3 linked regions of the Macaca mulatta genome follow. The protein of the gene in region 3 purifies or fractionates together with the protein of the main gene of each other region. This does not show direct contact. Links are inferred from orthologs where the notes say so. Each region holds a gene or a part of one and is shown on either strand. Other genes may lie near its edges.

What was found. The genes of interacting proteins can lie anywhere in the genome.
Region 1: the proteins of TNIP2 (region 3) and TNFAIP3 purify together in Homo sapiens (affinity purification with western blotting; 5 studies listed by BioGRID and IntAct, with this or other methods). This does not show direct contact. The link is inferred for Macaca mulatta from reciprocal best matches to the Homo sapiens genes TNIP2 and TNFAIP3.
Region 2: the proteins of TNIP2 (region 3) and TANK purify together in Homo sapiens (affinity purification with mass spectrometry; 3 studies listed by BioGRID and IntAct, with this or other methods). This does not show direct contact. The link is inferred for Macaca mulatta from reciprocal best matches to the Homo sapiens genes TNIP2 and TANK.

Annotation. Positions count from the first base shown.
Region 1 is NC_133409.1:42,967,757-42,971,279, forward strand, and holds part of TNFAIP3 (tumor necrosis factor alpha-induced protein 3), read left to right. Parts: intron 1-795; coding exon 796-986; intron 987-1,649; coding exon 1,650-1,797; intron 1,798-1,957; coding exon 1,958-2,128; intron 2,129-3,022; coding exon 3,023-3,203; intron 3,204-3,523. UniProt on the Homo sapiens protein: Ubiquitin-editing enzyme that contains both ubiquitin ligase and deubiquitinase activities.
Region 2 is NC_133417.1:66,041,886-66,044,722, reverse strand, and holds part of TANK (TRAF family member-associated NF-kappa-B activator), read right to left. Parts: coding exon 2,288-2,837; intron 1-2,287.
Region 3 is NC_133410.1:2,885,770-2,889,082, reverse strand, and holds the end of TNIP2 (TNFAIP3-interacting protein 2), read left to right. Parts: intron 1-1,924; coding exon 1,925-2,147; coding exon of another isoform or gene 2,148-2,188; exon of another isoform or gene 2,189-2,325; intron 2,326-2,632; coding exon 2,633-2,790; 3' UTR 2,791-2,811; downstream 2,812-3,313. UniProt on the Homo sapiens protein: Inhibits NF-kappa-B activation by blocking the interaction of RIPK1 with its downstream effector NEMO/IKBKG.

The DNA of each region.
Region 1 (3,523 bases), on a different chromosome or scaffold from region 3:
TGAGTTTTAAACTGGAAATGTCACAAATTAATGGCATACAATTAAACTTGTTTTTTGTTTTTTTTTTCTCAAAATGTCAGCCTTAAACACTGAATTATTTTCAAATTTAGACACCCAGGTGCTTTTTAACTTTTGTACTTTACAGTTACTAACAAGCAGGTTTGCATAAGGCATTTTTGAGAGCCGGACTAGCAGGCCATAGGTAATTCAGTGTTGTCAACGCCACTTTACACACCAGGAGAGGAAACTCCCAGGGCCCAAAGGCTAAAGTGGAATGGTCAAGTCATTTGCCATTGAGTCACAGCCAGACCATCCCTGTCTAGCAAGCCATGCCTGCTTCCTGGTTTGTGCGTGCAGCCTTGTGTGTGCTTCCTTAGAATTAGAGAGCAGCCATGCCAGTGCCTTCACCGGCAGATCAGGGGATGGTAGGAAGGAATGGGGCTTTAGAGACCGTCACTCACTGCCCTCATTTCACAAACAGGAAAAATGCCCAGAGAGCTCAAGGAATTTCCCCCAGGTCACCTGAACTAGGTAGGAGCAGAGTTAAGCTAGAACCAAGGTCCCCTGGCTCCTCTGCAGTTGGTGTCATTCATTAAAAAGAAGAATAAAAAGAACTGTTTTTTCCTTAAAGCTGTCATCATCTTATGAAATATCAGTTTGCCCTTGACTAGGAAATTAAACCAAATTAAACCATTCAGTCCACTAGAATAGCAGTAGGGCTGGTTTATTCTGAAACCTTTGCTGGGCCTTCCATGCAGATAACTTGACTCCTTCTCTTTTCCTTTCTGTCCTCAGGTGATGGCAATTGCCTCATGCATGCCACTTCTCAGTACATGTGGGGCGTTCAGGACACAGACCTGGTACTGAGGAAGGCGCTGTTCAGCACGCTCAAGGAAACAGACACACGCAACTTTAAATTCCGCTGGCAACTGGAGTCTCTCAAATCTCAGGAATTTGTTGAAACGGGGCTTTGCTATGATACTCGGGTATGTTTTTCCCCGTAATTATCTACTGACAGAGCTCCATGGTGGGCATAGGGTACCCCTGGACGAGTCCCTGCCCTCTGGTAGCATCTGATGGACTAGGTCACATGAATTTGTCTAAGCGAAGCATACTCAATGGAAAACACCAGAAACCTCCAGTGGGACTCACCCAAGGCTCTTGCCCTGTTTTTGGTTAGCAGATTCCCAGCTGTGCATCTGTTCCCTGTAGCAGCAAGTCTTTTGATCATGGCCTTTTCCACTGGTGTTTTGTTGTTTTTCGGTTTGATTGCCCTTAGCTTTGCTGAGCCAGCCAATAAGATTAAGACACGTGCCTCACCATCCTCAGTCACAAGTTTGGAATTTTTGTGAACATTTGGATAAGGGGCTGCAATGTGATACCTCATCAGGGATTTTTTTTTTTAAAGCAGGTGCTGTCCCGTCCTCCCCAACTTTTGAGTTTGCCTTGTAGTGGAAAAAAGTAAAGGAAGAAAATGGAAATGGGGAAAAAAGGGTGATCATTTGAATGATAGTTTCATGAAAGGGGAAAAATAAGCTGAGTTATATAAATGAATAATTGTAGAGTGATGTCAGAATGACTTTTTAGTACAGGGAGTACAGGGTACATTCAAGCTTTTTTTTTCCTTTCTTTCACCCCCCTCCCCTTAGAACTGGAATGATGAATGGGACAACCTTATCAAAATGGCTTCCACAGACACACCCATGGCCCGAAGTGGACTTCAGTACAACTCACTGGAAGAAATACACATATTTGTCCTTTGCAACATCCTCAGAAGGCCAATCATTGTCATTTCAGGTGAGATGCCTATAGATCACATATCTGTACTTAAATGCTTTCAGCTTTATGGCTTGGCTCGTCGAGAAAACCACACTGCCAAAGTTCAGGTAACAGAGTGAAATGGAATTTGATGAAAGTCACCTAAGGGTCTCATTTTTCTTTCTCTTTCTTTGAACAGACAAAATGCTAAGAAGTTTGGAATCAGGTTCCAATTTCGCCCCTTTGAAAGTGGGTGGAATTTACTTGCCTCTACATTGGCCTGCCCAGGAATGCTACAGATACCCCATTGTTCTCGGCTATGACAGCCATCATTTTGTACCCTTGGTGACCCTGAAGGACAGTGGGCCTGGTGAGAAAACTGCATTAATTCAGATTTGTAACTAGACACTGAAACATCAGGGGTTTTTTTGCTTCTTATTGAAATAATCTTATTTAAGTATCTTATTTTTATTTAAATGCATTGTTCTGTGACTTGCTTGGTTAGTAAGAGTAATGCAATAGCAATAACTCATAATACCCTCATATCTTTTTGAATATGACTTGGAAAGTACTTTCATACATGATAAATTAAGGCACATAGTGCCTGTTATGGAACAAGTAAATGCCTGTCAGGTTAGCTTTTTTATTTCTTTTTGAAACAGGGTTTCCCTCTGTTGTTCAGGCTGGAGTGCAGTGGCACAATCATGGCTCATTGCAGCCTCAACCCCTTGGGGACAAGCAGTCTCCCGCTTTGGCCTCTCAAAGTTACAGGCATGAGCCACCGTGCCTGGCCTGTTGGCTGTTATTTTGATAGCTTCATGTGGAAAAAGCACTGTGCTTTGGATATATTATTTTATTGCATTTTTATCCTCTTAGCATTCTTGTCAGATGTAGGGCTTGGTAGCCTTATTTTACAGATTAGACAGTTAAAGCTTAGAGAGGTCAACTGACCTGCCTAATGCCACACAACTTGACAAAAGCCAGGATTCAAACTCAGGTCAGTCTGATTCTAAAGCCTGGGACTTCAACCAATAAGATCCACCCCCTCCAGGCTGGTTAATATTCTGTGAGTTTCCTGGAAACAGTGCATTTTTATATTAGATTGTAGCACATTCTGTTTTCCCTTTTGGGTTTAACTGTGGCTGAGAATAGTTTTCTATTCTGTAAATTATATATTTTACACACTTTCAAAATGCGATCTACTTACCTATGGCCTTGTTTAGTAGAATACGATTTTACTTATGTGTTATTTTTTTTCCCTCAGAAATCCGAGCTGTTCCACTTGTTAACAGAGACCGAGGAAGATTTGAAGACTTGAAAGTTCACTTTTTGACAGATCCTGAAAATGAGATGAAGGAGAAGCTCTTAAAAGAGTACTTAATGGTGATAGAAATCCCTGTCCAAGGCTGGGACCATGGCACAACTCATCTCATCAATGCCGCAAAGTAAGCAGTTTATGTTCAGCTCTCTCCTGTGTCATCTGTAACTGTCTTTAACCTCAGCCACCTGAGTTGCTGCCACCCTGAAGCTCAACAGTAGAGTGATTTGTGGCCAGTTTCTGCCAGTGGGAAACAAATTCAGAGCCTTGTGCATGGTTAGAGAGGATTCTGTAAGGCCGTACTAACTTGGGTTTCAAATCGAAATAAGTCATTTATCCATATTGAGTTTCCTAGATATCTGGATCCCAAAAGCCAGAATTGCAGAATTATGGGTTTTCAAAGTGCATTTACATCAAGGATAGTTGTTGTTTTTTGTTTTTGTATTT
Region 2 (2,837 bases), on a different chromosome or scaffold from region 3:
TTTTAAACAAAAAAGTACAAATCACTGTAATGGGAAATTGATATGGCCAGAAATAAAAGATTATTAAAGATAGTCCTTATTTATATAAAATAGCAAGAAATTAAATCAGAAGCAATTTAGCTTCTAAATTTGGTAAGCCAATCTTCTGCTCCCAATTTACCTATTAAGTCCATATTCATTTTTCTCTATTAAGAACTTTTAGTTCAGATTTGATCTCTTCATAGAATTTAGTTGGGATCCCACTCACTGACTCAGCAAAGTAAAAAAGAAAATCACATAGAACAATAATAATCTGATACACTTTAGTCTTGGTTATGATAGCTGAATATATAAAATAGATGTTTAGTAGTAATGATTGATATAAAGTAAAATTTTTAAATATGCAGCCAAAAATTTCACTTCTCTTTGTTACTATCTACAAACAACTCAGGATTAAAAAAATTATTATTATTATTATTATTATTATTATTTTGAGACAGGGTCTTGCTCTGTCACCCAGGCTGAAGTGTGGTGGCACCATCACAGCTCACTGCAACCTCGAACTACCTAGCTCAAGCAATCCTCCCACCTCAGCTTCCCAAGTAGCTGGAGACAATAGGCGCATGCCACCACAACCAGCTACAAATATCTATATATCTATATGTATTTGTAGAGACAAGTTCTCACTGTGTTGCCCAGGCTGGTCTCAAATTCCTAGGCTCAGTCAATCCTCCTGCCTCAGCCTCCCAAAGTGCTGGGATTATAGGCATGAACCACCGTACCTGGCCCAACTCAGGAATTTTGTACTTATACTAGCTTGTATAATACTAGCTTTATTAATACAAATAAAATAGCTTAAAATGTTTTTTAAAAAACTCACTTTAAGAAATATTCTTTCCATCCTAAACTGTAACATGGTCTTCAAAACAAACTAATTTCTTTGCTTTTTCTGCTAAAATATCAATTATCTAACCTTATGCCCCATGTCTTGTGACAACTCAACACTAATTCTCCTGAATTTTTTAAGCTGAATACTTTTCCATCAAGTTGTAATCACATACCAGCTGTTTCCCTTGCTGTAGTATAGAAAGCAAATGTACAATGCAGGGTGCCATCTACTGAAACATGAATGCACAGACTAGTAAAAGAACAAGCAAGACATATAATAGAGAAAAAAGTAACAAGCATTAGAACTGATGCACTTCACAGCTCCACAGGAATTCTACTTGCAATAAATGAAATTGTTTAATTTGTTTCATTTAGTAGCAACTATAACAGAGACTATGATGTGAAATAAAGTATAATGAACAAGAACCTAAGTGAGGTTATAATTAAAACTTATTGTCAGCCATGCCTAGTTTTTCCCACTACTAAAATATACCACAGCTTGACAACTGCCTTCTTTGCATGCTGATTTAAGTCTATAACCTATAAGTGTACTTAAAGCAAAAGGGTATTAACAACTTTAAAAAAAAAAAAATCTCAAGGCAAAGAGAAATCAGACAAATGTTTGCAAGTTACATAGACATTTACATCAATCTATTTTCATAAGCTTCTGTTTTTTGTAAAAATTTTATAGTTTTCATTTGCTTTCAGACATTAAACTTTTTTTTTAACTAAAAGAATCATTCTGTGATGGAACTTGAATCTAAAAGGGAGGGCAGGAGTGGTTTGGGGGACATAAGTCTGTGAGATTTAGAAACATTGAATAAAATATCTGATATCATACACATGCAGAGACTATTTTAAAAATATACTAGGCTACATGTTCATTTCCAGATTAGCAACCAAAACCAAAACTAAACCCTACAGATCTACGTACTATATAACTGAGGATATAGTAGAAGTATTCATTGAAAGATAGTTCACTTATGTTGATAAATAGGAATGTAAGATGCAATTATTTACATAAGATCGTGAATTCTTATAAAGATGAATATGATATACAGAAACTATTAAATAAAACAGCATTTGTTTCACACTATGAAATTTAATAATCTTATTAATCCTGAGTAAACAAGCTTTGAATAAGGAACTAAGAAAGTGACACCACAATAGATACGGATAAGGCTTAACATGAATTTTTAAATGACATAAATTCTAAGATACTTTACAATAGTTTTACCATATTCAGCTTTTCTAATTTCATGTCATTTATTATAGGACTTGTTTTTCTGAAACCCCTAACTTTGGCTAGACAGTAGTTTAAAAAGGATGTCAGATAACGTAAAAGAGATGCATATCTGTCCATGTATGGCAAAATGTGTGTTCACACATAATAATATATTTGTTAACGCAAAACAGTTACCTGCTGTGGTCCTCGGATAGCTTTTCCTGGGGAATCAAGTGAGGGAAAAGGTGCATCAGATGGGTCCAGAAGTGGGAAGGTATTTACATATAATGCATTATGGTCTCCAGGTGGCAAACACGCAGCTCTATCCAGAGTTGTCCTGATACAAGTGTTTACAAGATTTGAGGGCTTTGTTTTGTCAGTTGTTTTAAGGTTTTGTATAGCTGAAGCTATGGGGTCAATTCCCTGAATTTCAAATAAAGTTTCTTCTGTTTTAACAAAGTTCCCTGGGTTGTCTCTGAACTCCGTATTAAATTTCTCTTGGCACATTGCCTCAGACGTGGCAGGACTAAGGATGCCGGGTCTCTCTGGAGTGCTATGTAAGAAAGTCGAGTCATTGTCCATAGGTGGAAACTTGACATTGAATTTAGAAAGTGATTCAAAAGAGGTGTCTTCCTCATCTCTGCACAGTCCTCTTGGTGTGACACATGTGATGGATGGTGCACCTCTATTTATATCATCTTTAGCCTGAGGCTTAAACAGCGCCTCTTGTTTATCTGTTTTATCC
Region 3 (3,313 bases):
CAGTGGCTCACGCCTGTAATCCCAACACTTTGGGAGGCCAAGGCGGGAGGATCATGAGGTCAGGAGATCGAGACCATCCTGGCTAACACGGTGAAACCCCATCTCTACTAAAAATACAAAAAATTAGCAGGACGTGATGGTGGGCGCCTGTAGTCCCAGCTACTTGGGAGGCTGAGGCAGGAGAATAGTGTGAACCTGGGAGGCGGAGCTTGCAGTGAGACGAGATCGAGCCACTGCACTCCAGCCTGGGCGACAGAGCCAGACTCGGTCTCAAAAAAAAAAAAATCCAGGAGAAGTTTGTTTATTTAGCTCCTCATCAAGTATCTAACACAATTTTGGCCCTGGGAATGGCCCTGGGCCCCACTCAAAGAGCTTCCTCTCCTGGCATAGCCTGAACAGTAGTGATACCTCTTGAGAAACGATGCACCCCGGGCTGGAGCTGGGAGGCCAAGCTGAGCTGCCCCGTGTTTCAGGGTGTGAACAGGGATCGTGGGGCTGTGAGGCCACCCCACTGCCCTGCTCCAAGCAGCCACTGGGCCTCAGTGGCTTCAGATTCTCTGCTTGAAGGGCACAAGAGAGTCACGGTGGACACCTTTTCTAACACACCCTTGGACTAAGTCTGCAGCAGAGGGCTAGACACAGGCAGCTGTTTGTACTTGTGCATGAGGGAGGAGGAACCTGGCGGGGCACTGTGTCTTCCTCCGTTAAGTTCACAGGCTGACAAGGAGGCACTGGAGGCTTCACCAGCCACAGCAGGCCCTGCCTCGAGCCCCTGCCCAGCCCCCGCAGCCTTCTTGGCATCACAGAATGGAATGTGTATGGGTGGCTCCCCATCCCCCAATTTCAGATTCTCCTAAGTCCCTGGCACAGGGATTCTTCAGCATGTCCCCTAGGCAGGAATGGGAACATCTTGCAACAGACCTACATGTGGGTTTTCCTGGGATTTGGTTTTGCCTGTGGGTTTTCCTGGGATTTGGTTTTGCCTGTGGGTTTTCTGGCCTTCACGAATTCAAGGAAGCATGTGATTTGGATTGAAGGATCACTGTTGGTACAATCATGAGGATGGTCTCAGGCCACCTCTCAAGATTTCGGACCCGAGGAACTGGTTCCAGACTTGCAGGCCCAGATTCTTACCCCTGAGGGTCAAGTTTCTGGTGGGGCCTGCAGACTTTGTACTAAGTGGCCTCTGTGTCCCTTTCAACAGTAGCCTGTGGCCCCTCGAGGGTTGCTCAGTCCCTAGGTGGCACAGCCAGGGACAGTGGTGCTGAAGCTTGGGTGATAAGCTGTAGTCCCACTGGGAAAGTCCACATTCAGACAGGAAGTGGAAGCACCAAGGCCTACTGGAATGAAGTTCGCAGACAAGCAGTGAGGGCTGCAGGCTGCGGTGCTTCAGGACGGATGTTTGGAGAACGCATGCCAGGCTGTGCCAAGTGGTTGGTGGGGCCAAGCCAGGGATACCTCTTGCTGCTACTGAAGGACCTCCTGAGCCCCAGAGTGCTGAGCACCCCAAGCCCCACAGAGGAGGTACAGAGTAGGGTTTGGACTCAGTTTTCCCAGCTCCCCACCAGAGGCTCTGCCACCTCCACTCTGTAGTGGTGTGTGGGCTACATCATCAGGGCCAACTTATCAGTCGGGTCTCCTAGGGCCGATGGGTCCAACTGAACAGGACTTCCACCAAGGGGTTACGGAGTGGACCATACTAGGGCCTGTTTCTTCATGAGCGCATGAGGGAGCGTGGGTGCGATCTCCTCAGTCATTCACTGAGCACCCCCTTGTCTGGGCTCTGGGGCACAGCAGGAAGCAAAGTGAGGGACTGAAGTTCCGCTCAGGGAGAGATGAAGTACCTCTAGTTGCTGGAACCTGAGACCAGACTTTGTGACCTTCAGCACAGCCCATGTAAATAGACCCTTTGCCTTTTCTCCAGGATTCTCAGGAGCCAGACGCCTGCCGGATCCATGCTGGAAGCAAAGCTGCCAAGTACTTGGCCACCGATGCATTGGAGCTTATGGTGCCTGGTGGCTGGAGGCCTGGGACTGGGGCCCAGCAGTTGGAACCCCCTGCAGAGGGCGGGCATCCTGGCATGGCCCAGAGAGGCCAGGGGGACCTTCAGTGCCCTCACTGCCTGGAGTGCTTCAGTGACGAGCAAGGTGAAGAGCTCCTCAGGCATGTGGCTGAGTGCTGCCAGTGACTGAGACTCACCCGTGCCCTTACGGCCCCCTGGCCCGGTGCAGCTGCCCTCAGGGACAGGGTGGGTACTCTCAGATGCCATGGGTTGAGCTCTCCTGAGATCCAAGGCCCCTAAATAGGTGCGGGGCACTGTGATCATTCCCGTTGGTCCCCCTTTGGCTATGGAACAGGCTGGGTCACAGGGAACTGCCAGTGAGGCTGGAGGCTGGAGGTGGAGATGGGGTTAGGAACATCTGGCAGAGGGAGGTCCTGGTCTGTGTCTCCATCAGGCTGAAGCCAGAGCAATCTAGTGCTAGCGTACCAGCCCCTCCCCTAGCCTGCACCTGGGCATGCCGCAGCTTGCCAGAAAGGGGTGGCTGCCTATGGGGGTCACTTGTATGGTCCTTAGGGTGGAAGCCCCATCCTGTTCTGTAGCATAAGGTGTCTCCTCTCTGCCTTGAACCAGGAGGTTTGTCCAATGGAGCATTGCGGCTGTGCATCACACTAGGGGGGCCGCCCCCGCCATTGCAGAGCCGCATGTCTGCCCTGAGAAACTGCATCGCAGTAGCACTGTCATCTGTCCGGAAGTTAAAGCACACTTACTCTATCCACCTATTTTTATAATAAACGTTCTTGCTACTGTGACTGCTCTGAGAATGTGTGTTGGAAGCTGGGGTGCAGGGACTGAGCAGTATTGACAGCAGCTGGCACGGGAAAACGCTCCTGCTGTTGCCTTCTCCCAAGGCACCAAGACAAGGGGGTGAGTGGGAGCCTGGCTGTGTTAGGGTTCTTTAGAGGGACAGAACTAATGGAATAGATAGATCCATAAAGGGGAGTGTGTTAAGTATCGACTCACACGATCACAAGTTCCCACAATAGGCCATCTGCGGGCTGAGGAACAAGGAGAGCCAGTCCAAGTTTTGAAACTGAAGAACGTGGAGTCCCATGTTCAAGGGCAAGATGTAGGCTGGGAGGCCAGGCCAGTCTCTCCTTTCACGTTTTTCTGCCTGCTTATATTCTAGCAGCACTGGCAGCTGATTAGATGGTGCCCACCCACACTGAAGGTGGGTCTGCCTTTCCCAGCCCGGTGACTCAAATGTTAATCTCCTTGGCAACACCCCCACAGACACGCCCAGGATCAATACTT